4 linked regions of the Anolis sagrei genome follow. The protein of the gene in region 3 purifies or fractionates together with the protein of the main gene of each other region. This does not show direct contact. Links are inferred from orthologs where the notes say so. Each region holds a gene or a part of one and is shown on either strand. Other genes may lie near its edges. The genes, in order: DDX21, H1-10, NPM1 and RPS8.

Region 1 (7,676 bases), on a different chromosome or scaffold from region 3:
AATGTACTATTACAAGCTAAGAAAATGTTTAAAAAAAACCCTATCTATCTCAAAATATATATTTTCCAGGATGGCTCTCACATCCAGAGAGCCCCGTCATGGACAGCAACGATGGATCTGGGCCAAACATACCCATCATGGCCATCTTAAAATACTGGTAACATGTCTGTGGGATGACCCAGGATGATGGGAATTGTAGTCTGCCCACTTCCAGGGAGCCCTGTGAACCCACCAAGAATGGATCTGGATCCATCTTGGTAGACAGACCCAACTTTAAATACTGACTGGGTTGGGTTATGTGAGGGAGAAGGATGGGAGCAATCCACCCACAACCGAAGACCCATGTGTATCTTACACCCAGAGAGCCATACGTATTTTGAATGGAACCATTCATAACATACAAAAATCAAACAATGATTACACTAGGAGAAATAAAGGGAAAGCAGATAGAGGTAAATAACAGTATGTAAAGAAAAATTGTATTAGAGCTATAAGTGCAGTATACTTTAGACAGGGAAAGTTTTAAACTGAAGTAGGTGCTTTATTATTATTGCATCTGTCATTATTTTTATGTTCTCACTAGCCGTCCCCTGCCATGCGTTGCTGTGGCCCATTCTGTGTATATGTGTTGTGTGTGTATATATATGTGTATCACCTTTTTGTCCATGTCCCAGCATTACTTCTAATTTTAACCTTACATTTGGGCCTTCCCACTGTTTTTAACTGTGTGTTGTCTTATTGATAATGTTGTATATTTTATTATGTTTTTTATTGCTTGTATTGTTTTTTTATTGCTTGTATTGTTGTTTTATTGCTTGTATTGTTGTATTTGGGCTCGACCTCATGTAAGCCGCACCGAGTCCCTTGGGCAGATGGTAGGGGGTACAAATAAAGTGTTATTATTATTATTATTATTATTATTAACTACTTTTAAAGTCAGGACCGCATAATAATAAGAATAAGAAGAATAATAATAAGAAGTATAATAATAATAATAAACGTTATTTAATACCCCTCCACCATCTCCCCAATGGGGACTCGGGGCGGTTTACATGAGGCCAAGCCCAACAGCATATTACAATAATGTAAAACCAATAACAACACAATAAAATGCAACCTGTGCTGGACTGGGTTACACTCCCCCTGAAGTCACAGGTCCGCAGCTTGGGAGTTCTCCTGGATTCATCATTTACGCTTGAGGCTCAGGCGTCGGCGGTGGCCGGGAGGGCTTTTGCACAGCTAAGACTTGTGCGCCAGCTGCGACCGTACTTCGCAAAGGTTGATTTGGCCGGGGTGGTCCATGCCTTGGTCACCTCTTGATTGGATTACTGTAATGTGCTCTACGTGGGGCTGCCTTTGAAAACGGCTCGGAAATTCCAACTGGTCCAACGGGCGGCGGTCAGGATGTTAACTGGCGCTCCTTACAGAGAGAGGTCAACCCTCCTGTTTAAGGAGCTCCATTGGCTGCCGTTTACCTACCGAGCCCAATTCAAGGGGCAGGTGCTTACCTACAAAGCCCTAAACGGTTTGGGACCTGCCTACCTGCGTGACCGCATCTCCGTATATGAACCCACATTCTCCCTTCATTCATCCGGAGAGGGCCTGCTCACGATTCCACCTGCATCGCAGGTGCATTTGGTGGGGACGAGGGACAGGGCCTTCTCTGTGGTTGCCTCCCGACTTTGGAACACCCTCCCCAAAGACATTAGACTAGCACCCACATTGGCAGTCTTTAGGAAGAACTTGAAGACCTGGCTATTCTGATGTGCCTTTCCGGAATAGGATAACCCTCAGCACTATGTCCCAGAAGCACTGTATTAGAGTTTAAGACTCTCTGCACATTGCACTTGCCCAGAATTCCAACATACCACCTGCCACACCCAGCCCTTTTTAACCTGTACCCATCACTGGCCTGGCCCTGGTTTTTATTGTGTAATAGTGTAATGTTTTGTTATTGCTTATGTTTTTAATTTGCTTTGTATCGTATTGTTATTGTCTGTTGTTGTTGTGCTGAGGCCTTGGCCTTTGTAAGCTGCATTGAGTCCTTCGGGAGATGCTAACGGGGTACAAATAAAGTTTAATAATAATAATAATACAACATATGAGTACAAAGACGATAAAGCAAAATCATAACACGGTAAAATAAAATAACATAACAATGAGCAAAATAAAAACTAAGATACTAAAAATACTAAAATCAGGATGAGACAGGGATGTTGGGGGGAAACTCGTAAAGGAACGGGGTTATAAATATAGACCTTCATACGGGTGAGGAAATATACTCTGGGGACAATTAAACAAGAAACAACACTTTCAAAACGGGAACAGTTTTGTTGTTGTTTTAAAGGAAATGTCTGCGTCGTGGGACGGGGAGGGGAAAGCCCGCCACGTGCGCAACAGCGAAGGCGGAACAGAAAGGCCGTAGAACACAAACGCGGGTGGCGAGGCCTAACTCTAAGGGACTTTGGAGGGGGCGGGAAGGCCCGTGGGAAAGAGAGGCCTCCTCTTGGTTGACTTCTCTGCGCCACGAACAGGCCGCGCTTCCGGCTCGGAGGCCGGCTTCTCCTTCCCGTCAGCCACGAGGCCCGGTCGGCCTTACGTAAGCGCCTGGGCCTTGTCCTTCCCTCTTTCCGTCCTTCCCCCTCGCCGCGTACCTTGCGCTTCTTCCCTCCGCTCTCCAGGGCGTCCTCGGGCTCCAGGGCGGCCTCGAGCTCCATCTCGTTGTCGTCGTTGTCGTCGGGGCGGGGGGCTGCGGGCATGGCCTGGCAATCTCCGCCGCGGAGCTGGTGGCAGAAGCGGCTGGTCGGGGCCGAGGCCGGCGTGAAAGGAAGGAGCAGCTCCGCCCCGCCCAAGAGGAGGGAGGGGGAGGGGGAGGAGGGGGGAGGCGGCGCGCGGCTGAGGGGGGCGGCGCAAAATGGCGCCCTCCAGCAGGCCGGGGCCAGGCGGAGGGCCTTCCGGGACTGCGCCAGGCAGCGGCACCACCAGCCCATGCCCCACCGGCGCCTCAGCCCTGACTAGGCCGCGGCCGGGAAGAGGAGCGCCGGGTGAGGCCTGCCTTCCCGCAGTTCAGGGGCCCGCCTTGAGGGGGCGCCAGGGAAAGAGTGTCTCTCGTCAGACCGGCGTTTGAAAGAGGACGCCCACGCGCCTCTTCTGCCTCGCGCAGAACTCTGGGAAATGTAGTGTGGGGCGGGGTCTCTACTATTCCCAGCTAAAGAGGAATTGCCTCAACATCAAGCAAAAAGTGGGTGCTAGAAACAATATCATACGAAAGCTGACTGGCACAACCTGGGGATCACAACCAGACACAGTGAAGACATCCGCCCTTGCGCTGTGCTACTCTGCTGCTGAGTATGCATGCCCAGTGTGGAACACATCTCACCAAGGTGATCTAATCAAGGTGATCAGCTGAAACATTCACATTAGCCCCAGCAGACAAAAGTCCTTTGTCTCACCCTGGTTATTCCACAGATATATAAACCCATTTTTCCTACTTCCAACACACCTCACTACCTCTGAGGATGCTTGCCTTTTCTCTGAGGAGAAAAATTGCCTCCAGAACATGCCCATATAGCCGGAAAAACCTACAACAACCCACATCTCACCACACTAAAACAGTGGATGTGGCTCTTAATGAGACATGCCGCATTATCACAGGGTGTCTGCGCCCTACACCACTGGAGAAATTACACTGCTTAGGCAGTATCGCACCACCTGACATCCGCCAGGAAGTGGCAGCCAATAGTGAAAGGACCAAGGCAGTGACATCTCCAGCTCATCCCCTGTTTGGGTATCAGCTAGCACGTCAACGACTTAAATCCAGACAGAGACACTCGCTGGAACACCTCAGCAAGCAAGAGTCCAAAAGTGGCAGGCTCAAACCCAGAACCTCAACCAATGGCTGATACCAAATGAGAAACTCCCCCCTGGGCACACAGAGGACTGGGCGACTTGGAAGGCGCTGAACAGACTGCGCTCTGGCACCACGAGATGCAGAGCCAACCTTCAGAAATGTGGAATCCACAACATGCGAGTGTGGAGAGGAGCAAACCACAGACCACCTGCTGCAATGCAACCTGAGCCCTGCCACATGCACAATGGAGGATCTTTTTGCAGCAACACCAAAAGCACTCCAAGTGGCCAGATACTGGTCAAGGGACATTTAATCAACTATCAAACACACATTTTGTATTTTCTCTGTTTGTTTGCTTTGTTCTGTTAGAAATGTAATATAACTGACTGGCTGCCCTGACACGAGAAATAAATAAGCTAAAGAGGAGCAGGATTCAAAACGAGCTTCACAGATTGGAGAGATGATTGGCCAAAACTGACAAAATCGGCGGTGTCCGGGAGGGCTTTTGCACAATTGAGACTTGTGCGCCAACTGCAACCGTACCTCTCAAAGGCTGATCTGGCCGGGGTGGTCCATGCCTTGGTCAGCTCTAGACTGGACTACTGTAATGCACTCTACGTGGGGCTGCCCTTGAAAATGGCTCGGAAATTTCAATTGGTGCAATGGGCAGCGGCCAGGATGTTAACAGTTATGAGATGCATTGTGTTGTCTATTGTTGTGTCAATATTGTATATTATGCTTTTATGGTTTTAAATTGTATATCGTTGATTGATTTTTATCCTTGTTGTAAACCGCGTTGAGTCGCCTGTTGGGCTGAGAAACTGCGGTATACAAGTAAATAAATAATAAATTAACTGGTGCTCCTTACAGAGAGAGGTCAACCCTCCTGTTCAAGGAGCTCCTTTGGCTGCCGTTTATTTTCCGAGCCCAATTTAAGGTGCAGGTGCTGACCTACAAAGCCCTAAATGGTTTGGGACCAGCCTACCTGCGTGACCGCATCTCCGTCTATGAACCCACGCGCTCACTTCGTTCATCCGGAGAGGCCCTGCTTGCAATTCCGCCTGGGTCTCAGACACGTCTGGTGGGGACGCGAGACAGGGCCTTTTCTGTGGTGGCCCCCCAACTCTGGAACACCCTCCCCAAAGATCTTAGACAGGCTCCTACGTTGGCAGTCTTTAGGAAGAATTTGAAGACCTGGCTGTTCCGATGTGCCTTTCCAGAATAGGAATCCTCCAACAAGTCCCAAGAGCACTTTAGTAGAAATTAAGATTGTTGGCACACTGAACTTGCCCTATAATCCTACATATCACCTGCCACATCAGCACTTTTAATCTGTACCCATTACTCTGGCCCAAATACCAAATTTGCAAAATCTGTGTGGGTTTTTTTTCTTTCTTTTTTTCTTTTTCTTTTTAATCTCTGTGTTTGTTTTGCTCTGTTAGAATTGTAATACAATGGTTGCTGATGACACGATAAATAAATACTCTGGCCCGGCCCAGTTTTATTGTGTATTGGTTTATTGCTTGTTGTTTTAATATTGCTTTAACTGTTTTTGATTTGATTTAGGTTGCGTATTGTTATGTTGTGTTTTGAGGCCTTGGCCTTTGTAAGCCGCATCGAGTCCTTCGGGAGATGCTAGCGGGGTACAAATAAAGATAATAATAATAATAATAATAATAATAATATGAAGTTCAACAGGAACAAATGCAAGGAAAAAAATGTTGCAAGCAAAGACTTTCAGTATATCTTTCAGATTTCAATATTGACGAATTGACACCAAATTTGGACAGCGTACACCTAACATCCCAATGTATGTCCTTCACTCAAAAAAATGATTTTGTCATTTGGGAGTTGTAGTTGCTGAGATTTATAATACACCTACAATCAAAGAGCACTCTGAACTCCACCAACAATGGTATTGAACCAAACTTGGCACACAGTTCTCCCATGACCAACAGAAAATACTGGAAGGATTTGGTGGCCAGTGTCCTTTGGTTTTGGAGTTGTAGTTCACCTACATCCAGAGATCACTGTGGACACAAACAATGATGGATCTGGACCAAACTATACGAATACTCAATAAGCACAAATGTGAACACTGGTGGAGTATGGGGAAAATAGAATCTTGACATTTCGGAGTTGTAGTTGCTGGGATTTATAGTTCACCTACAATCACAGATTTTTCTGAATCCCACCAATGATAGAATTGGGCCAGACCTCCCACACAGAACCCCCATGTGGGCCACAGCAATGCGTGGCAGGGGACGGCTAGTCTATATAAATAAAAATGTAATGTTCATTTGTGGTATTCACAGAACTCAAAAACCGCTGGGCAAATTGACACCAAATTTGGACACAAGACAGCACACAAAGCAATCTATGTCCTTCACTCAATAAAACAAAAAAAATTAACCTTAATCCCCCAAAGAAGCCAAAAATTCATAACAGCGCATGCGCGAATGTCCCCTCCCCCCCACGCGAAGGAAAATCTGTTGCAAGCTGCCAATCCCGACAAGCTCCTTCTTCCTGCTGCAGCTGCAAGGCGCCTTTCATGTGACCCTGCCTGCGTGCCCAACCGGCAAACAGGCAGGAAGGCCATGGCAGAAAAAAGAAGGGGCGGTGCTGGCCTGCCTCGAAAGCACCTCCCTCCTGCCTGCACCGCGCCTGGCTGCGAGGCTCCCTTCCTGCCAGCACCAGGCAAGTGGTCAAGAAGGGAAGGAAGGGAAGAGGGAGAGAAGAAAGGAGAGAAAGAAAGAGGGAGGGAAAGAAAGCAAAGGAAGGAAGGAACGAAAGAGGGAGAGAAGATAGAAAGGAGAGAGAGGAGAAGGAAAATAAAAGGGGGAGCAAGGGACAAAATTGACAAAAGCAATTTTTTTTGAGTGAAGGACATATATTGGGTTGTTAGGTGTCTTGTGTCCAAATTTGATGTCAATTCGTCCAGTGGGTGTTGAGTTCTGTGAATACCACAAACGAACATTACATTTTTATTTATATAAGATTTGTCGTTTATTCATTCCTCTTCCTTTACAGCATCCATTAAAAAAGCTGTTTAGGCCTCCAACTCCCAGAAGGTTTAGCCAGTTTGTTTAATGGTCAGGAATTCTGGGAGTTGGGGGGCCAAACTGCTGGAGGGCCACAGTTTGAGGATGCCTGCAATAAGGTTTGAAAAGCAGTAGGAAGATCCCATTACATTACACTGTAAAGGAAGTCACTTTGTCTCAGAAGTCTCTCATTCATTTACATACTGTAAATCAAAACCAACTTGATGGCTAATAGCAGGGTGCTTGACATTTTCAGTATGAGCAAAGTGAACAAAGTACACAGGATTAAGATGTTCTCCTTTATATCCTCATATCAGTCAATTTTAAATAAGGCAGCACTGATTTAGGCAGACCCCTATGTCCCATGGGAAAAATGGATGGGATAAGGGACAGGGGCCCCACAGGGCACAAAACCGAATACCTAACTGACAGAAGGAAGTGATTTTAATTTTTTTAGTGTATGGATAGGAGGTAATAAGATCAATGAGCAGCTGGGAAAAATGACTCCAGATTTGGGGTGTGTCTGCAGAACCCCCATAAGATCACTGCGTTAGACGAATACACTAGAGCAGTGGTTCTCAACCTGGGTCCCCAGATGTTTTTGGCCTTCAACTCCCAGAAATCCTAACAGCTGGTAAACTGGCTGGGATTTCTGGGAGTTGTAGGCTAAAAACATCTGGGGACCCCAGGTTGAGAACCACTGCACTAGAGCCTAAAGCAAACGAAACATCTTGGATTTCTGTGTGGCCACTAAAGGCAAATATATTACAATTTAATTCCATTGT
Region 2 (6,687 bases), on a different chromosome or scaffold from region 3:
ATAATTATTATTATTGGAAAGAATGGTACCTTCCCCTTTTCTTAAAGTGGGTTCTCCCATCGCCCCCTTTACTGGCGCTGGACTCAAGGGAGGAACCACTTTAAGAAGAGGGGGAAGCATCTCTACATAAAATCATTGAGTTGGAAGAGACCTTATGGGCCATCCAGTCCAACCCCCTGCCAGGAAGCAGGAAAATTGCATTTAAAGCACCCCCGACAGATGGCCATCCAGCCTCTGTTTAAGCCTCCACCACACTCCAGGGCAGAAAGTTCCACTGCTGAACGGCTATCAGGAAGTTCTTCCTAATGTTCAGATTGAATCTCCTTTCTTGTCGTTTGAAGCCTTTATTCTGCGTCCTAGTCTCCAGGGCAGCAGAAAACAAGCTTGCTCCCTCCTCCCTAGGACTTCCTCACATATATTTAATTCTCCAACCCTGCAGCTGAAGCTTCCTCTTCATGACGCTACACCCCTGACCTCCCCCCTTCATAAACAGCGAGCAAGCAGCGAATGAAAAATGCTTTTTAAAATACCATTTATTGACAAAAAACCCCATCCCTCCCCTTCCCACAAAAGAAAACACAAATACCCTCCTTTAAAAAAAGGCAATCGAAGACATGAAGGCAGTACAGTACAAGATGGAGGCAAAGGGGGGCGTCTCCCTCTCCGACTAGGTCCTTTCAATTACAAAAAAGGGGGGCGGGGGTGGTGGGAGGCCAGGTTGCCATGGCGACACGAGGCGCCCCCTCAGCTGCTGGAAGCTCTCTCAAAGGCACCCCCCCCCAATTCAAGAGGAAATGGAAGCCAATAAACGAATTGAGGCTCAGATACGCGACAGTCACTGAATAAATCAAGAAAAAAAGCGAAATAGGACCCCCACCCTCCCCTCTCCACCGACACACAAAAATATGGGTCTTCCAGAACAGTATAACACAGCCATGGGGAAACTTGGGCCTTGGAGGTGTTTTGGACTTCAACTCCCAGCATTCTTCACAGCCTCAGGCCCCTTCCTTTCAAATGTTTGAAGCCATCGTTCCATTGCGTCCTAGTCTTCCGGGCAGCAGAAAACAAGCTTGCCCCCTCCTCCCTAGAAAAGGAAGGGGCCTGAGGCTGTGAGGAATGCTGGGAGTTGAAGTCCAAAACACCTCCAAGGCCCCCATCCTGGTATAACACGAGCAAGGATAAAAAAGCAACCTTGACGACAAAACATATCCAAAAAAACATGGAGGGAAAAGTGTCCTTTGCCTGCCCCCCAAAAGTAAACACAACCGAAGCGAGGGTGAAAAAAAAGGTGGCTCTGTGCTTCGAGCGCAGTCTGAGTCCTAGGAAAGGAGGGCGGCCTTTCCCTTCTTCCTTCTCCTCCTTCTCCCTCACTTCCTGCTCTTGAGGGGCTTGGGCTTGGCGGCCTTCTTGGCCTTCTTGGCGGCGGGCGAGGAGGCGGAGGCGGAGGAAGAGGGCGAAGGGGCGCCGCTCTTCTTGCCCGCCGCCGCCCCCGCCTTCTTGGCCTTGGCTTTCTCTTTCTTGGCGGCGGCTGGGGACGGGGAGGCGCCCTTCTTGTGCGACGACTTCTTCTCCAGCGCCTTGGGCTTCTTCTCGGCTTTCTTCGGGGGCGTCGCGACCACCGCGGCGGCCTTTTTGTGGGGCTTAACGTGGGGCGCGATGGCGGGCCCTCCTCCTTCTCCCGCTCCGCCTTCGAGCTTCTTTCGGTTCAGCTTGAAGGAGCCATTGGCGCCGGTGCCTTTGACCTGGAGGAGGGTGTCGTTCTGCACCAAGGCCTTGATGGAGTACTTGAGGTAAGTGCGGCCGTTCTGCTGGTCGAACCAAGGCACCTTCTTGGCCTCGTTGTAGATCTTGGCCAGCGAGGAGCCATTGCGCTCGCCTAGCTTCCGAATGGACTCCACCACCAGCTGGCTGTACTTCCCGGGCTGGTTCTTCTTCTTGCTGTTCTTCTTCTTCTTCGAGGGAGACAAGGCCGAGGCCTTCTTGGCGGCGGCGCCGGCGCCTTTCTTCTCGGGAGCCAAGGGCGCCTCCTCGGCCTCCGTCAACGGCAAATCGGCTTCTTCCAGCTCCACAGACATGGCCGAAAACGATAACATCCAGCCGCCGAAGACCTTCCCGCTCCGCTCGCAAACCGCGTTCTGAGGCCGCGCGCGCTGCCGCAGCTCTTTATATACTCCACTAGCGGACCGTGTTGAGAACAACAACAAGAGCCCAAGAGGCCCGCTCCGAGTTGTGCTTTTCCAAGGCCCTTCGCGGAGCTCTCCCGCTCGCCTCAAGGCATGCAGAGACACCGCAGTAGCGCGGCCCGCTTCCCCAGGCGGAGCCCCAGGCGGCTGCGGGGGTGTGGCGGCGCTGCTAGGCCGGGAAAGGCCCCTCTCGGGCCATTTTGGGGGCGCTCCCTATGCTGGGCGCAGGCGGAGGAGGGGGGCGCCCTGTTCGTGGGCCTCTGGGTCGCCGCCCAAAGGATTCCCGGGCCCGTGAACGCGCTTGCGGGGCAGAGAAGAGGGCCCTCTGTCCAATCGTCCGGCTCGGATCCGCCGGGGCCGCTTTGGAGGTGAGGGGGAGGCCGGTTAATTTGTGGGAACTAACACACGGGACGCCCTCGCGCGGCCGGTCGGCAGCAATGGATTCAAATGACAGCGGGGAAAACAAGATCCCACCTCCACTTTAGGAAGAAGCGCTTGGCATTTAAAGAGGCTCAACCCCACCCTCCACTGTTGACCCTCTTGAGTATTCCTTGCTGAAGAAAACCCTGTGAAATTGACAGGGTTGCCATAAACTACGGGGTATTTAAAAGAAAGAATAACAGGAAGTGGGCCACCATGAGCACTCCCTTGGAAGACCCCAGTCCCCCTTCTCCCAATCCCGCCTTTTAAACTGAAATCATAGCCTGAAAGGTGGCCATGTAGTCCAACACCCTGCTAGGCTAGAAAACTAAAAATGACTGTCCGGCCTCTTTTTTTAGAGTAGGCATAGGCTAATTTGGGCCCTTCCTTCTTGTTTTTTAGACTTCAACTCCCCCTCCCCCCTAAATAGCCACCCTGTGAAATGGACAGCGTTACCATAAACTACTGGGTATTTAAAAGAAAGAATAAAAGGTGGCCATTTAGTCCAACACCCTGCTAGGCTAGGATACACAACTACAAAATGACTGTCCAACCTCTTTTTTTAGAGTAGGCATGGGCCAACCTGGGCCCTTCTTGTGTTTTGGACTTCAACACCCCCCCCCCCCCCCAAAAGCCACCTTTCAATCTATGATTCCAGTTTAAAAAGCGGGATTGGGAGAAGGGGGACTGGGGTCTCCCAAGGGGGGGGGGGGGGAGGTGTTCATGATGGCACACTTCCTGTTATTCTTTATTTGAAATACACAGTAGTTTATGACAACCCTGTCCATTTCACAGGATTTTCTTCAGCAAGGAATACTCAATAGGCTCAACAGTCGAGCTCAACCCCACCCCATTCTACAGATATATACATATATACATATATACACACACACATACATACATACACACACCTCACTTACTTTGTTTCTAACAAATCTCTCAACTTCTGTGGATGTCTGCCATAGATGCAGGTGAAACGTCAGGAGAGAATGCTTCTTGAACATGGCCATATATCCAATGCTATTTCTCCGGTGCAGGAAATCACAGTAGCCTAGTGATTCTGGCCATTAAAGTCTTCGACAATACAGTGGAAGTACAGCCTTGGAGGATGGAGGTTTGGATGGCTCTCTGTGGGGGGTGCTTTCCCCTCTAAGGCAGGCATGGGTCAACTTGGGCACTCCCTCCTTTAACTCCCACCATTCCTCACAGCCTCAGGCCCTTTCCTTTCCCCCCTCAGCCGCTTAAGCGGAATGGTGGGAGTTAAAGTCCAAAACACCGGGAGGGAGGGCCCAAGTTGGCCCATGCCTACTCCAAAAAAAGAGGTTAGACAGTCATTTTTAGTTGTGTATCCTAGCCTAGCAGGGTGTTGGACTAAATGGCCACCTTTCAATCTATGGTTCGTTTAAAAAGCGGGATTGGGAGAAGGGGGACTGGGGTCTCCCAAGGGCGTGCTCATGGTGGCCCACTTCCTGTTCTTCTTTCTTTCTATGTGTGGTCTTTTAAATACCCCGTAGTTTATGGCAACCCTGTCCATTTCACAGGGCAGGCCCGTAGCCAGGATTTCGTTTCGTTTTTTTTCAGGGGGGGTTTCGGGGGGGGGCTGAGTTTCGGGTGGGGGGGGTGAGTCTGAGTGAAAGAGGGTCTAGCCTAGCAAACCTTTTGTATCATTACCCCAATACCCCCATGCATATGGGATATATTGAGTATGGTGATCAGATCATGATATGAATAAACATAACAGTTTAAATAATGCACCAGTAAGGCCTTTTCGCGAACCACCATGAAAATTTCGGGGGGGGGGGGGGGGGCTGAAGCCCCCCGAGGCCGCCCCCCCCCCCCCCCGGCTACATGCCTGTCACAGGGTTTTCTTCCGCAAGCAATACTCAAGAGGTGTTTTGCCAGTTCCTTTCCCTGGGGTATAGCTTGCTGCACCTGGTACTCATTAGTGGACTCCCATCCAAATACCAACCAGGGCAGGCCTTGCTTAGTTTCCAAGACCGGACCAGAAGGTGATTTCAATGAGGTGGGTTTTGTGGCGAGCGTGTCTCGACTCTCCCTCGCCCACAGACCCAGTGTTCTCTTGGTTCCCAAAAGGCGATGGGCGGGGTAGGGGTGGCTGTGTTTCCAGTGCAGGGCCGCCCACATTTCTCTGGACTGGCTTCCCATCCACGTCTCTTTGGAGGTGAGAGGCCATGGCTACCCGGGCTGCTTTTCCTTGTCGCCTCTTACTGCCCTTTCGGGGCCTCATAGTCTCCTCCCCGCATCTTTCTGAGGGGTTCAGTGACAACGCCGTGCTTCTGCCCCTTTAAATGGCGGGTGGGGAAGACCACAGGAGGCGGAGAACAGGAGGTGGGGGGGGGGGGGGGAAGAGAGCGCCTCCAGGAAGAAAACGGCGGGGGCAAGGCTTTGAGAGGTGGCGGGGGGGGGGGGAGAGGGGGGGGGAGGGTAGCGTTGGTTCTCGGGGGAGGGGGGAAGGAGAATTGCTTTCTGTAAAAGGAAGACCTTGAAGGCTCCCAAGAGCGGAGGAATCCGCCCCTTCCTCCTCCTCCATCACCAATGCTATTTCTCCGGTGCAGGAAAAGTTGCCTCTCTCTCTCTCCTCCTCGTCTTCCTCTCCTTCCCCGCTTCCTCTCCCTCCTCTCCATTTGGCTTCTGCAAAAAGGCAGCTCGGGCGGGGGTCTCTCCCGGCGCCATGTCCGCCCTCCCATTCCCCTCCCCAAATCTGAGGCGTCCTCCCCCCTCCTCCTTGGTTTCCCCACCCTTTCCTGCCCACCCTTCCCGGGTCGTGACTTTTGGGGAACAGGAACCTGCTTTCTGCCCCTGGACCATCATCTCACTCAGCTTCTTAGGTTCTCAAAGGGACAAGAAGGGCTGCTCCTGACCACTTCGACCTGACTGGTATGGAGGGCCACCAGGGAGTCCAGTACTGCTTTGAGGGGCTTTACAGACTCTAGATCAGTGGTTCCCAACCCTTTTTTTTGGACCAGGGACCACTCTCTCACATTAGTACCAAAAGGGTTAGGAATCAGTTTTAATCAACTTTAGATTTGGTTATTCAGGGTACTGATTCAGAAAACTGCATTGGATAGACCACATCAGCTCTGGTTTCTGATGTAGAACACATGCCATCCAGTAGTTGCCATCTGCTTACCCACAGAAAACAGTATTTAATAATCTAGAGCTGATGTGTAGAAGTAATCGTTCGTGGGTAGTCAGCCTCTCCCCTCCCGACATCCCTGTTGCCTCGGCACTATAAGAGGGTTTGCGAGACCAGTTGCTCTCGTTGCCGTGTGGTTTCAAGGCAATGGTGTAGTAATTATGAGGCTGTGGACCATATTTTCATTCTTGTGGACCACTGGTGCTCCATGGACCGCAGGTTGGGTACCACTGCTCCAGACAAACAGTTCAACGCATCTGGAACGTTAGAGTTCCTACCCTGGTCTTTGATACTCTTGTTTAAATCTCCACTGAAAAAAGGCAAGGGGTATTACACAGTTGGCCTTTGACGTCAACATGAAATTAATGGGAGAGGTTATCTCCAGTTTTGAAGCTGGGCATCATCAGCATGACAGGCAGCTGTTAAGGATCATACAGTATCTCTACCCCAGCTGAAACAACTCAATGTCTGGGCCAAATTCAAAGTGCTGGCTGTGACCTTTATAATCCTACTTTGCTTAGGTCCACTGAGGTCTCCCTATAGGCAGTCCCAGCCTCATCTTAGGCAGATCTAGTGAGCACATAAGAGGGAGAGCCTTCTCAGCAGCTGCTCCTAAGTTATGAAAGTCCTTTACCCTGGAAGTCTAGTCCCCTCCCTGCTGCCTTTGTACCAGCAGGTAAAGACCTTTTTATTTAAATAAGCTTTCAGCCTTTTGTGACAGATAAGGCTTTTAATGAGGAAACTACTGTATTGTCGAAGGCTTTCATGGCCGGAATCACTCAGTTCTTGTGGGTTTTTTCGGGCTATATGGCCATGTTCTAGAGGCATTTCTCCTGACGTTCTATGGCAACATGCGGACAATTTCAACAGAAAGGAAGAAACCATGAAAATGAACAAAATCTGGCTACCAGTATTAAAAAAATTCTA
Region 3 (7,470 bases):
TGTATGAACAACCAGAGTTGCTCTGGACAAAGGAGACTCAACCTCTATACACAGTATATAGGCCACTGATGTGGCCTATATACAAAGCCTCAAGGTAAATTTATACAAATCAGTTTTAATAATTTTGAGCATGAGACCAAGTTTGGGTACACTGACCCACCAGAAAGTGAAGGAGTCACTCTCAGCCATGAGGACAATTTTGGGAGTATTTGGGGAATTCTGATAATGGAGGCTCAAAATACCTGTACTTTTTATGGGACCAGGGATTCAAAGCACTGCTCAGAGGCTGGATGTATACTGCTATAGAATGCAGTCTGAATTTGCATCACATGGTCAGTGTAGACTCACATATTGCAGCTATACTGGCCATATAATGAAGATTAAAACGGCATTATACGGCAGTATATATCCAGCCTCAGAAGACAAAGAGGCACATCTTGTACAGCACTAACCCATAAATGGCTGCTGTGATTTTATATACTTTTAAGGCTTTAACCTGTTTTTTAATATTAATGTTGCTTAATAAGTGTGTATTTTGTATTTAATATGTGTGTATTTTGTATTTTAAGTTGTATTTCAATGCTTTAGTTGCTTTTAGTTGTGCACCGCTCCGAGTCTCCGTATGGAGAGAAAAAACAAGATATAAACATAATAATAATAATAATAATAATAATGAAAGTCGCTGCTGAATATGCATGCCCATCCTCTGTTCAGATATCAGCCAGCATCTTAAATAAAGAAACAGCTTCCTAATAACTACAGAGATACTCGCTGGAACCTCAGCAAGCGAGCGTCCAAAAGTGGCAGGCTAAAACCTGGAACCTCAATCAGTGGCTGGGAACAGAAGAGAAACTCAGAAAGTTGGGTGACTTGGAAGACACTAAACAGAATGCTCTCTGACACCACGATATGCCGAGCCAACCTTAACAAATTGGGCTACAAAGTGGAGTCCATGGCATGCATGTGTGGAGAAGAGCAAGCCACAGACCACTCACTACAACGCAATCTGAGCCCTGTCACATGTACAATAGAGGACCTACTTACAGCGATACAAGAGACATTCCAAGTGGCCAACTTCTGGTCAAAGGAATTTTGGGATAAGTCCCAGTTTTTAACTTTGTGGGGTTTTTTATATATTATTACATTCTCAAGTCACTTCTGACAAACTAAATAATGAACAATCCTGAAAACAAAGATGTGGACATAAAAGAGATAGCAATGATATTACTCAATTCCATTTTAATGTTTGTAGAGTTTAAAATGCATGGAAAAACTAAGCCACTTTGGAGTCATCTTCTGGAGAGAGAAAGTGGGGTATAAAATAAACATAGTAATAGTAATAATACTACCCCTCTATTCTGCTTTGGTTAGACCACATCTGGAATATTGTGTCCAATTCTGGGCACCACAATTCAAGAGAGATATTGACAAGCTGGAATGTGTCCAGAGGAGGGCGACTAAAATGATCAAGGGTCTGGAGAACAAGCCCTATGAGGAGCGGCTTAGGGAACTGGGCATGTTTAGCCTGAAGAAGAGAAGGCTGAGAGGAGATATGATAGCCATGTATAAATATGTGAGAGGAAGCCACAGGGAGGAGGGAGCAAGCTTGTTTTCTGCTTCCTTGGAGACTAGGACGCGGAACAATGGCTTCAAACTACAAGAGAGGAGATTCCATCTGAACATTAGGAAGAACTTCCTGACTGTGAGAGCCATTCAGCAGTGGAACTCTCTGCCCCGGAGTGTGGTGGAGGCTCCTTCTTTGGAAGCTTTTAAGCAGAGGCTGGATGGCCATTTGTCAGGGGTGATTTGAATGCAATATTCCTGCTTCTTGGCAGGGGGTTGGACTGGATGGCCCATGAGGTCTCTTCCAACTCTTTGATTCTATGATTCTATTCAAAGTAGATAATCTGGGATTAGATTGTGGGATATAGGGTGGAGTGGAAGTGGCCTAAGGCCTAGCAGGAGATTCCATCTGAACATGAGGAAGAACTTCTTGACTGTGAGAGCCGTTCAGCAGTGGAACTCTCTGCCCCGGAGTGTGGTGGAGGGTCCCTCTTTGGATGCTTTTAAACAGAGGCCGGATGGCCATCTTTTGGGGGTGCTTTGAATGCAATATTCCTGCTTCTTGGCAGAGGGTTGGACTGGATGGCCCATGAGGTCTCTTCCAACTCTATGATTCTATCCATGATTCTTGCAGGAATTATTATTATTATTATTATAAGCATAATAATAGTAATAATCCTATTCAAAGTAGATAATCTGGAATTAGATAGTGGGATATAGAGTGGTGTGGAAGTGGCCTGAGGCCTTGCATGATTCTTGCAGGAGGCTGGGCCCCTTCCACACAGCTGAATAAAATCCCACATGTTCTGCTTTGAACTGGAATATATGGCAGTATGGATAACCCAGTTCAAGGCAGATATTCTGGGATATAGGGGGTCCTGTGGCTTTTTCTGAGATGGAGCAATAATGGAGTTGGAAGGGAGCCCCATCTTGCTTTGAAATCCTAACCTAGGAGAGGCAGCGAGCTCGCCTTCTCGATAATAATCATGCCCCAAGGCGCACGGATCCTATTGCAGAGGGAGAATCAAGTAAAGAAGAGCTTGATTCGGGCTAGATTCGGGGCCGAGAGGCTTGGGGCCTTCCTTCTCGCTCCACAGGCCACATGGAAGACGGCTAGGCCCAAGCCTCATGAGGTGGCGGCAGATTCCCTTTCCCGTCCAGCCTGAGGACGAAGGGAGGACAAAGGAGGCCCGCAAGACCCCGAGGTTAAGGGAGGCCCAAGCCACGTGGGAAGGCCTCATGGCGAGCCAGGGAAGGCAGCGTGAGGGGGGGCGCGGGATGGTTACCGAAGAGGAAGGTCTGTGGCCGAAGGGAGCCCATGCTGTCCATGTCGGTGTCTTCCATCTCCTCAACAGCGTCGTCTCTCTCTCTCTCCTCAGCCGAAGGGCGCTTGCTGGGTCTAACGGACGGAATTAGCGCACCCGCAGAAAAGGGCCCGCCTCTTTTCCCTTCCCCCAATATATAGCCCTCGTAGGTCTCGCGAGAAGTGATGCTCTGGCCCATCCGCTGGCTGGGTGCGCAGGCGCGAGCGTGCTCGGAAGGGGCGCACGCGGTCGCCAGGCAAGCGGGGGCCAAAAAGGGAGCGAAGGAGCCCTCTGCTCCGCGCATGCGCGTCCCAACTTCCACCTTGTGCGTCTCTTGAGAGAGCGAGAAGACGCGCAGCAGCCCACCGAGCAAGATGGCGGCGCCTTGTATCGCTCCATTCCTCCTCTAGGGGCCCTTTCACGCAGCAATATAAAGTCCCACATTGAACTGGCTCATACGGCAGTGTGGACTCGGCTAACCCAGTTCAAAGCAGATATTGTGGATGATCTGCCTTGATGTTCTGGGTTAGAGGGCTGTGTGGAAGGGCCCTAATAGCTTTCTTAGTTGATGTTGTTTTCTGGCAGCTGACTAAGAGGCCCTTCCACACAGTAATCTAGCCCACAATGTCAAGGCATGTCATCCACAACATCTGATTTGAACTGGGTTATCTGAGGGCCCTTCCACACAGCCATATAACCCACAATATCAAGGCAGGTGTAACAAAATGTATAATTAAAATGTAGGTTTTAGGTATGTTTATTATTGTCAGCTGATTGGTGGCCTCAGGCCTAGGCATTGCCATAGCAACATAGCTTCCAGGCAGAAAAGAAAGGGGCGGAGCCAACTGCCAATGGAGAAAAGAATGTTGGTTTGAAAAGGGTCAGTTGGTGAGTTAGCTGGAGTCTGAGTTAGTTATGCTGATGACAACGTCTGTGCACATTCAGAAGATGACCTACAAGCCACTCTAAACACCTTCGCAGAAGCTTACAAGAAGCTCAGCCTGTCATTAAACATTGAGAAAACTAAAGTGCTCTGCCAGCAGTCACCAGCCAATCCCTCTCCAATGCCAGAAATACAACTTAATGGTGTAACATTAGAAAATGTTGACCATTTCGGCTACCTTGGCAGCTATCTCTCCACAAAATTCGGCATTGACATCAAAATACAACACTGCCTGAGCTCTGCGAGTGCAGCTTTTTTCCGAATGAAGCAGAGAGTGTTTGAGGACTGGGACATACGTAGGGATACCAAAGTGCTTGTTTATAAAGCTATTGTCCTCCCAACCCTGTTATGTGCCTGCAAGACGTGGACAGTCTACAGATGTCACATGCAACTCCTGGAACCATTCCATCAGTGCTGCCTCCGAAAATTCCTGCAAATCTCTTGGGAAGACAAGCGGACAAATGTCAACGTGCTGGAAGAAGTAAAGACCACCAGCATTGAAGCGATGGTCCTCTGCCATCAACTCCACTGGACCGGCCACATTGTCTGGATGCCCGACCTCCGTCTCCCAAAGCAATTGCTCTATTCCGAACTCAAGAATGGAAAACGGAATGTTGGTGGACAGGAAAAGAGATTCAAAGATGGGCTCAAAGCCAATTTAAAAACTCTGGCATAGACACTGAGAACTGGGAAGCCCTGGCCCTTGAGCACTCCAGGTGGAGGTCAGCCATTACCAGCAGTGCTGTAGAATTTGAAGAGGCACGAATGGAAGGTGAAAGAGAGAAACGTGCCAAGAGGAAGGCGCATCAAGCCAACCCCGACCGGGACCGCCTTCCACCTGGAAACCAATGCCCTCACTGCGAAAGAAGATGCAGATCAAGAATAGGGCTCCACAGTCACCTACAGACCCACTGCCAGGACACTACACTTGGAGGACCATCATCCTTGGACTACGAGGGATCGCCTAAGTAAGTAAGCAGCTGGAGGCAGCTGGAAAATTAGCTAGGGGATACCTAGGGTAGTTGACTGATACCAGGAGGCTAATGACAGTAGAGAGGTTTTAAAGGACCGAGTGGTCAGGATCTCTATGTCAGGTTCAAGGCAGTTAGAAATCAGTTTTCTTGTGTTAATATAAAAAGTCCTTTTGGGAAAAAGAAAAGGCTGGAATGTATCATCTTCATAAAGGAATATTCACATTTTTGTAACTAACAAGCATTTATACTCTTGCAAACCAGCACGCCTTTGTCACAACAATGCAAATAAACTTAACAGTTACTGTTTCAATTTAAGCAAAGTCTGTCAACCTCTCACCTCCAACTTAAAGGGACACAAATGGTGGGATAACAAAGTAAAGGTCCACCCTGCTGAAGTGGTTGCTCGTTTCAATTGGTGACAGCGGTGGGATGATAAAATAAAAGACCCCCCTGCCTGAAGAGTGCCCTACTTTGTTTCAATTGGTGGCAGCGGTGGGATGATGGAAGAAATGATCCACCCTACCTGAAGATTGCCCTGCTTTCCATTTCAATTGGTGGCAGCGGTGAGATGATAAAATAAAAGCCCCCCCCCCCCCCCCGCCTGAAGATTGTTTTGTCCCTTTGCTTTGAAGTGGGCTATCTGAGGGCCCTTCTGTACAGCTGGATAAAATCCCACACATGCTTTGAAGTGGGTTATATGGCAGTGTGGACTCAGATAACCCAGTTCAAATCAGGTATTGTGGGATTTTCCACTTTGATATTCTGAGTTATATGGCTGTGTGGAAGGGCGCCGAGTCCACACTGCCATATAACCCAATTCACAGCAGATGTGGGATTTTACTTAACTGCGTGGAAGGGGCCTTGTGGTATTAATCACACTTCAGAATTAATGCTGTTTGACACAATATGAACTGCCATGACTCAGTGCTGTGGAATCATGGAAGTTGCAGTTTTACAAGGTCTTTAGACCTCTCTGACAAAGAGCACTTCTACACAGCCATATAACCCAGAATATCATTCACAATATCTGCTTTGAGCTGGATTATCTGAGTCCTCACTGCCATATAATAATCCAGTTCAGTGTGGATTTCATACAGCTGTGTGGAAGGGGCCAAGAAGGGCTATTGCCTTTCCAAATTCCAACTCCCATAAGTCCATAGCAGCAAGTCTCAAACTGCATTAATTCAACAGTGTAGATGCACCCCAAGACCCCTAGGGGAGACCTGGTAAGCACTAATTTAGGGCCCTTCCACACAATATAAAGCCAGAATACCAAGTCAGAGAATCCCACAATACCTGCTTTGAACTGGGTTATCTGAGTCCACACTTCCACATATTCCAGTTCAAAGCAGATAATGTGGGATTTTATTCAGATGTGTGGAAGGGGCCTTCAGTAGTCATTTCTTTACTTTAGAAGCCCATTTGGTGCTTGAGAAACATTTCTCCCAGATAATGTGAGGGCTCTGTTTTAAAAAAATGGATTGGATATTGAGACTTGACACGTTAACCCTCAGGGACTAAATGTAAACTAAAGTTTCTCAACCTTCCTAATGCCACAACCCCTTAATATATTTCCTCATGTTGTGGTGACCCCAAACCATTAAATTATTTTCGTTGCTACTTCATAACCGCAATCTTGCTACTGTTATGAATCATAATGTAAATATCTAATATATATTTATTATTTACTTAAAACTTTTATATCCTAATCTTCTCTACCTCCATAGAGGGACTCATGCAGGATGTATTTTCATTTACAGGAGCAAATTTGATGCAAGTATCCAATACACGCAAATTTGAATACTGGTAGGGTTGGGGGAGGCACTGATTTTGTCATTTGGGAGTTGTGATTGATGGGCTTGATAGTTCACCTACAATCAAAGAGCATTCTGAACTCCACCAACGATGGAACTGAACCACACTTGGCACACAGAACTCCCATGACCAACAGAAAATACTAGAAGGATTTGGTGAGTATTGATCTTGAGTTTGGGAGTTGTAGTTCACCTACATCCAGAGAGCACTGTGGACTCAAGCAATGATAGATCTGGACCAAACTTGGCACAAATATGCCAGTATGCCCAAATGTGAATCAAAGAGAATTCTGAACCCCATCAATGATAGAATTAGACCAAAATTCCCGCACAGAACCCCCATATCTTGAAGGAATCTCCTGGCAAGAGCCTCCCTTACAGGCAATGCAATCCTGTCATGCAGGATTTTATTCAGCTGTGTGGAAGGGGCCTTTGTTTCTAGTTATAGTAATAATCATCTATATATAATCCAAGTATGTTTGTACCACAAAGGCTGTTGCTAGTTGAAGTGGCCCTCTGTGATATCACTGGGAAACGAGGGAGGGAGGAAAGAGCCACAAAGAGAGCCATGTTGCCACGGAAACATTGTGAGGTAGGCCCATGCAGAGCTGCAGAAATGGAGAAAGTAGGCAAGCAGCAGTCCAAATAACACCTGGGCAACACCAGTTGTTATTTATGCATTAGTTTTTATCTCCTGAAGAAGGCCACATTACATGTATCCCATGTTGCTGAGGCTTGGCTTTTTATTTGAGGCACTTTTTAAAAAGAGTAACTCATTACCCCAACCAGAATCCTTTCTTCCAATATCTTCAGCTGCTTCTTCAGAGGTAAATCTTCTCAATAAATGGACATGAGTCTTGGTTATTGTGAGG
Region 4 (7,598 bases), on a different chromosome or scaffold from region 3:
TTTAAAATAGACTACATACAGGAGAGTACAAGATGGGAATCAATGCTGACTCTTTACGGGGAGCAAGCTAGATTTTAAGGAAACTATTTCAAGTGCTGTCTCATATTAGTCTTTCTCACATTTGTTGTGGCCTAAATACCCCCAAAGGCACCAGATCCAGTCTAGGAAGTTAAGCAAAGTGAGGTCTGATTAGAACCTGGATGAGAGACTGCTAAGGCACACCAGGTGCTGTAGGCTATTATTTCAGAGGAAGAGAATTTCTTGCCTAAGAAAACTCTATGACACTCATGAACACACACTCTGCAGGTAATGCTGCAAACTCTTAAGCGTCTGTGCAGTTTTCAAATAAAATATTTCTGTTGCTGGTCGAGAAAGTGATATTCGTGTTTCATTGTGCAGTACCTACTTTGAAAGTAGTTGTTATACTCCAGATACTTTGGGGGTTTTTTGTAACCACAAACTATACTGAATTGTGTTGTTGAAGGCATTGATTGAAACTCAATGAGATATTCACTTGAAAGCTATAGCAGAGTTTTTGCAGTTTAGTAAACGTTCTCCTTTTTAAAATGATAGAACCAATTAGGAAATGACGTTTATAAGCCAGGAACAAAAATTGTGTTACACATTGTACTCGTTAGACCTTTGTTAGATAAAATATTTTTTTTCTGAGAATAATTAACTCAACCTAACAAATCGCTTTCAGGGAATCTTTCAGGCTGCATCATGAGAAAGTGGCATTTCGGAGGTCCAATTCTGGTAAGGAGTAAAAATCCAGGAGGATTAGAAGTTTACATATAGTTAATATACCTCTGACAACAAATCGTATTATACTCTGGCTCTGTTGGTTCTGGTTCAGTCAACTTTGTTGGCTTTTCGACTGCATAATAATTTAATAACTATTTTAATTGAATGTTTAATTGTGATTTTCTATACATTTATGTTAAATGTCTTTAATGTTTTTAGGTGAGATGTGATGTTATAGGTTATGTTATTATTTAATTTTGAGTTACAAGTTTGTCTCAGATGTTGGTTTATGTTGGGAACTGGTTGGTTCGTTATTTGTATTTGTTTTGATGAATGTATTATGGCATTGAATGTCTGCCCTTTGTATTTTTTTGTTGTTGTTTTGCTGGAATCAGGTCGGAGTTCTTTTGGGGAGATACAGTGGAATACAAATAGCATTTATTTATTTAGTAATTACTAGAATAATAGATTTAATGTTACCTGCCTCTCCTCACAGCTCAATACAGGGTACAATATAGTTAAAACACATAAAGCAAAATAAAGTTTTAAAAAACCCATTAAAATACATATATTAAAAGCTCGCATACCCATGTCATATACACACATGCACACACCGACACATTCACTCCAGAAGTCACAGTTTCAAATCTGAGGGGAAAAAATACAATGAGGACTAGGAGCAGAAAGAAAACCAAAACAGAAAAGCAAAGAGTGTTTTTGTCTTTGTTCAATGTTGCGTATTTTCCCCTAATGTTTCAAAGCAAGTGCAACTTGGGAGGAAGGCACGAGAAAGGGGAGGGAGTGTAATTAGAAAAAAAACAAGGGAAGGTTTTTGAGGCTGAAAATGCGTGTGTCTATGAGATGGGTATGCAAGCAAAGCATAGTGACTCCACCTGTGTACCCCCTTTTTTGCTGTGTCTTCATGACAAGGTGATTGAAAACAAACTGTAATGGGGCAGCGAAACCATGTGTTTCGTTTTGTTTTCCTGAAGGCAAGGTTGTGGGGAGACATACAAAGAACTAACAAAAATAATAAAAGAATAATTAAGCAGAGAACAGTATTGGCCTTAAAAAAGGGGGAAAAATGAAAAGTAGAGGGGGGAAATTTTAAATAAAATGAAACTTAAGTTTGACAAAGGAAATATGCAAACTCTATAGGTCACGTGGTGACTGTGGACTTTTCTAATTCCAAATAAAAATGGGAGTGGAAAAAAATACATATATTAAAAGCTGAAACATTCCCATTCAGGATAAAACATAAACGGAGAGGTACAACAATAAAGAGTGGCTTACTTTGGTATTGGCAGGGGGTCGCCCCAACTCATACTTCCTCTTCTTATGATAGGGTTTGCGCTTCCCCCCAGTTTTGCGGCGCTTGTGCCAGTTGTCCCTGGAGATACCTGTGTGGGCAGACCAAAAAAAAAAAATGTGACATCAAAAATACATTAAAGGGTGCATCTACACTATAGAACGCATGCAGTTTGCCCCCACTTTAGCTGGCATGGCTCGGTGCTATAGGATTCCCAGAGTTGTAGCTTGGAGGGCACAGCAGAGAAAGCTAAAGACCTTGTAAAACTACAAATCCCGTGATACCACAGCACTGAGCCATGGGAGTTAAAAGTAGCATCAAACTGCATTCGTTCCACAGTGTAGATGATGCACCCAAAGTGTGCAGTATTGTTTCCCACCAGGAAAGGATTCCTTAAGGCCTGAGTTACTCAGCTCTCCAAGGTAAAATGTCTCCCCAGAAGACAGTCGGCTTTAGGAAGCTTCATCACGGGAACTCCAGGCGAAGGAACACACGGCCTGTGGGATAGGAAAAGGCCTCCTCTGGGCCGAGGATAGGCGGCCAGTATATCAACAGGGCATAGGCCCAAGCCGCCATTGCGGCTTGGGCCTATGCCCTGTTGATACACTGGCCGCCTATCCTCGGCCTAGAGGCCTTTTTTTCTCCACCGCAACCGAAAACACCGCACGATAACGCCCCATCCGTGTTGTTAAGACCGTCCTTTCCCCCATTAACCACATTACATCTCCGTTGAGGCGGACGCGGGGCCGGATGGCGGCGGATTCCCCCTCTCGCCGCGCCGGCAGCCACTCACCCATCCTTCTCCGGAGGCGCCCACTGCAAAGAGGAAGGCGCAAGGCCTCACGGGGCGGGATGTGGCCCAGGAAGCCTCGCGATACTTCTTCCCCCCTCCCGCACGGGATTTCGAAGCGCGGCGTTGGCTTGAACCTATGAACGTCATCACAAACGGACAAGAAAGTACAGGCAGGAGCTATTTTGGGGGTTTAATTCACAGAGGAACTTTTTGCATCGTCCAGAGAATTGTCAGGGCTTTTGTTATTATTACTAATCATAGAGTTGGAAGAGACCTCGCGGGCCATCCAGTCCACCCCCCCCCCTGCCAAGAAGCAGGAAAATCGCCTTTAAAGCACCCCCGACAGATGACCATCCAGTCTCTGTTTAAAAGCCTCCAAAGAAGGAGCCTTCACCACACTCCGGGGCAGAGAGTCCCCCCGCTGAACAGCTCTCACAGTCAGGAAGTTCTTCCTCATGTTCAAATGGAATCTCCTTTCTTGTAGTTTGAAGTCCTAGTCTCCAGGGCAGCAGAAAACAAGTTTGCTCCCTCCTCGCTGTGACTTCCTCTCACATATTTATATATGGCTATCATGTCTCCTCTCAGCCTTCCCTTCTTCAGGCTAAACATGTCCAGCTCTTTTAAGCCGATCCTCATAGGGCTTGTTCTCCAGACCCTTGATCATTTTAGTCGCCCTCCTCTGGACACATTCCAGCTTGTCAACATCTCCCTTCAATCGTGGTGCCCAGAATTGGACACAGTATTCCAGGTGTGGTCTAACCAAGGCAGCCCTATGAGGAGCAGCTTAAAGAGCGGGGCATGTTTAGCCTGCAGAAGAGAAGGCTGAGAGGAGAGATGTATAAACATGTGAGGGGAAGTCATAGGGAGGAGGGAGCAAGCTTGTTTTCTGCTGCCCTGGAGATTAGGCTTCAAACTACAGGAAAGGATATTCCACCTGAACATGAGGAATAATGTTCTGGTGGAACTCTCTGCCCCGGAGTGTGGTGGAGACTTTCAAACAGGCTGGATTAGGAACATTTCAAACCATGATATTTCTGGTCAAAACCTGACTCCCTGGTGATGAGGGCAGGACTTGGTGATATTAGTAGGCATTATGCACTAAGCAAGAGTCGCTTGCGGCTTGTCATCCAAGCACACGTGTATTTTACTGATTGGAATTTTTGCAAAACCACAATACTTTAATAATATCTATTAACTTTTCCAAATTGCAGGAAACTGCATGGGCACTTAGAGCAATATTCTTCAAATCTGGTCAAACTAGAGGGCATAATATTGCTTATCTGCTAGATGCTGCTACTATGTTCCAGCCTAGGAACTATTTTTATAGCAAGCACTGATTTATTTGGGGGGGGGGGGGGAGTGAGGTCCTGATTCATAGCGATCTGATCATTAAGCTTTACTCCATGATCTTTAGGGTAGATGAATAAACAAAACATCTATAATGAGGTCTCTTTATTGCCACGAGTTCACTGAATAAAACAGCCAGGCTATCCATTTGGAAGGAGGCAGAGCACCAGAAGCAGTGATCTCTGCTCCTGCTCTCTTGAGGAGCATTTATTATTATTGCCTGGCCTACCCCCTTTCCCACACTCCCTCATTCTTTCCTTCTTTGCCTCATCTTTTCTTATATTCTCATGATCTTCCTTCTTTTTGTTCCTATTTTCCTCCTCACTTCATGCTGATGCCAGCCTGCCTGTAAATCAGCAAAAAAGTGACTAGTGGTTCCCATTCTCTTTTAAAGTATGAAATTGCTGAAATACAGTTTAGACAATATTTTGTTTTACCTGGGTCTTCATGGAATTCTCAAGAATAGTAAAAAAAAAAAAAACTGCCAAAGGTCACCAGTTTGAACTTTGTGTACCTTGTATATTTGAGCGCTACATATAAATACTAATTTATGCTACCTATATTTCATGTTGTGTATGTGTTCCAAGAGCAATGTCTAATGTATCTATTTAGGTATTGTTTTCAGTAGACATCCACAACATGTTCATATATATAACAAACAAACAAAAAACAGTTTTAGACATAGTAAATTTGTTTCTTGCTGCAGTAGACTCAGGAGCTAGTTCTGGAATGCCCTTTATTATACCTTGTCTGCCCACATGCCAGAGATGACTTTATTGAACAGATTATCAGGTTGCTTTCACACCAGGAGTGTCTTGAATCCTTTAAGCACACCCTCAGGGCAAAGGCCTGGTCCTGGTAGGGTACTATTACAGTTCCTAGAAAGGGCTGAGTGAGGATTATATATGACCTGGATTCTTTTCAAGTGACAAATATTTTCATGCTTAAATGTCTTTCACTCTTGCTAGCTTCAGTAGGAAGAAGTAACACAGCACTGTACAGCCATTAGTTCAATGTTAGGGTTCCATTTAATATCCATAACCAAAAGTATACTCCTATACTGTTGTCATGTAACAGATACTGACTCTAAAGACCTATCAGACATAAGGAACAGTGGTGTTGGAACAGTGATGTCATCCCCATGGATCCCTTCCCATACCAGGCCAGAGTATTGTAACTAAAATACATGGAAGTCTGACAATCAGTGGCTATACAAAACCAGCAAAAAAATGGTGTGCTTTAGCCACTGAGACAAAACCATGTGATTTGAAGAATCACTGTAGCTGAGCTAAGCTCACAAAAATGTTTTTGTGGTTATAGTAACTACAAGGGTATTTGAGTTTTTAAGAAAATCTACTGAAACACTACACATTCATTTTGGTGCCATCCTGTGCAGTTTGCATGCACCCACCCCATACACCATTAGTGATACCACTGGTAAGGGGTTAACTCTGCAGACTTTTAGGTGCCAAACCCCTTATTTTTGCCATATACTGTATTTCACCAAATTGAAGGTGCCATAAAATGTAAGGTATAGTCCCCTCTTTTTGAAGCTTCAATTTTTGGGAAAAATCGCTATTTTTTAGAATGTTCTCTGCATGCACAGTACCTTTGTTTCAACCCAGAAGACATCTTGTCTGTATTACTCTATCTTCCTAGTTCTGTGGGCCCATTAGAAAGCATGGGAAGCAGAAAACAGTAAAGCTATCTGGCTGAGCCAGAGGGCAAAGTGGTGTGGGCTAGGGCCCCTCCTCCTCTTCCTCTATCAGACGTAAGACAAAGTTAAAAAAGAACCCAAAACCAGTGATTTCAAAGCACCACTGATTATAAGGTGCACTTAAGATTGATGACCTAGAAGCTCTTAAGAGAAAGCAAATCCACAAAAATTGAATCAGCAAATGCAGAACGCTGACTAGATTCTTTCATTCCTATGACATAAGTAAAAGCTATTAGATATAAATTCCTTATGGTGCCCTAAATAAAAGCTTAAGTATGAGTTCATGATCTTCCACTTATAATCAATATTATCTTCTCTGTCACTCGTTGGCTGCTCTTGTTCATTATTTTCTTCCCTATGTAAAATTTATCTGCATATAGAACTGGGTTTTTTAAAATTATGATAAAAATTTATTCCAGTACTACTTTCTACATTAAAAAGCATATACGGAATTACTAATGATGAGCCTTTAAGGAAGAACTACTCTGTGAACACCCAAAGCAAAATACTAACAAATTCAAAGTTACCTTATTAGAATATCTTCAAAAATGACAGACACATAATTGGCAAACTGATGCAAAATATTTATTCCAAGTTAGTTATCTTCTGATGCAGTAGTTTTTTCCCCTCATACAGACTCAATGTGATAGTCACTTTTTTAAATCTGTAAATAATGTTATCAAAATAATCTTAATCTTTGAAATCCCACAAAAATTTATATTTTACAATCCACCCTGAATATCAAGGTTGCAAGAAGAACACAAACGATTCCTATATCCAAATATTTTACAGCTGTACCCAAAAAAAGAAAAACCAAACACGCCTGGTTAAGTGATGAAGCTCCCCGAGCCGCCAAAAAAATAAAAAGTTCCATGTTATTAGCATTAATTTAACACAATTAGAACTTCCATAGCCATTTTGTCATTGACAATGATTGTTTTAGCACATTATTGCCGCACAGCATTTTGCCATGTGGACGGCAGTATAAGAAGCTTGTGGCTGCCCAACCCAGTCCCTTACATCCTGCTTCTGATGAGACTGAACTGAGGCCTTGTCCCAGAAGACCAGTGGTCCACCCATCTGCACGGACTGTTTTCTATGAAGCATAGAAGGGCAAAACCAAAAAGTAATAAGCCAATAGCTTTCTTCTTTGGGATATAATTCTTTCCCTTGTGCATGAAGTTTTCAACAATAAAAAAGAAACTGAACAGACTTGAGACAGAATAAACTCTGCTTCATTTGAACCCCAAACATTAATGTGCTAAACTACAAACTGAGTTTGCTGGGTTGGTTTTATACTGTGGGTTTTTGGTGCCCCTTTTCAGGCATCGTCGTCTGAAGTTTCACTGCTACTTGTCTCTGTATCTGATGCTTCAAAATCTGTCTTAAAAGTGCTTCTCCAGTGGGAGAACAGTTGACTGCTGCAACGGCCTTGAAGAAATCCATTCTTTCTAAAGCCATTTCTTCTGAGCTGGAGGAAGAACAAATAAGTTTGTATTTATTTCTCTTCTTTATACAGTTAAGAACAAGCACATCATACTTCAGTTACAGGTATACCTCAGTTAATAAAGCCTCTGACAAAGAAGCTTCTTTTGTCAAAGTTTCTTATGCAAGTCAACCATCCCTTTCTATCTAACTAGAAGGTGCTTTTGGTGGTGGGGGGGGGGGGGGGGGCACTGGCCTTGGAA

The links.
Region 1: the proteins of NPM1 (region 3) and DDX21 purify together in Homo sapiens (affinity purification with mass spectrometry; 3 studies listed by BioGRID and IntAct, counting the BioPlex papers as one, with this or other methods). This does not show direct contact. The link is inferred for Anolis sagrei from reciprocal best matches to the Homo sapiens genes NPM1 and DDX21.
Region 2: the proteins of NPM1 (region 3) and H1-10 purify together in Homo sapiens (affinity purification with mass spectrometry; 3 studies listed by BioGRID and IntAct, with this or other methods). This does not show direct contact. The link is inferred for Anolis sagrei from reciprocal best matches to the Homo sapiens genes NPM1 and H1-10.
Region 4: the proteins of NPM1 (region 3) and RPS8 purify together in Homo sapiens (affinity purification with mass spectrometry; 3 studies listed by BioGRID and IntAct, with this or other methods). This does not show direct contact. The link is inferred for Anolis sagrei from reciprocal best matches to the Homo sapiens genes NPM1 and RPS8.

What each region holds. Positions count from the first base shown.
Region 1 is NC_090023.1:170,859,277-170,866,952, reverse strand, and holds the start of DDX21 (nucleolar RNA helicase 2), read right to left. Parts: upstream 3,006-7,676; 5' UTR 2,991-3,005; coding exon 2,655-2,990; intron 1-2,654.
Region 2 is NC_090022.1:56,400,416-56,407,102, reverse strand, and holds H1-10 (histone H1.10), read right to left. Parts: upstream 2,224-6,687; 5' UTR 2,094-2,223; coding exon 1,368-2,093; 3' UTR 516-1,367; downstream 1-515.
Region 3 is NC_090021.1:142,281,754-142,289,223, forward strand, and holds the start of NPM1 (nucleophosmin), read right to left. Parts: upstream 3,011-7,470; 5' UTR 2,908-3,010; coding exon 2,850-2,907; intron 1-2,849. UniProt on the Homo sapiens protein: Involved in diverse cellular processes such as ribosome biogenesis, centrosome duplication, protein chaperoning, histone assembly, cell proliferation, and regulation of tumor suppressors p53/TP53 and ARF.
Region 4 is NC_090024.1:179,414,618-179,422,215, reverse strand, and holds the start of RPS8 (small ribosomal subunit protein eS8), read right to left. Parts: upstream 3,023-7,598; 5' UTR 2,851-3,022; coding exon 2,847-2,850; intron 2,145-2,846; coding exon 2,038-2,144; intron 1-2,037. Other genes in the region: GPBP1L1 (vasculin-like protein 1), read right to left, coding at 7,232-7,381. UniProt on the Homo sapiens protein: Component of the small ribosomal subunit. The ribosome is a large ribonucleoprotein complex responsible for the synthesis of proteins in the cell. Part of the small subunit (SSU) processome, first precursor of the small eukaryotic ribosomal subunit.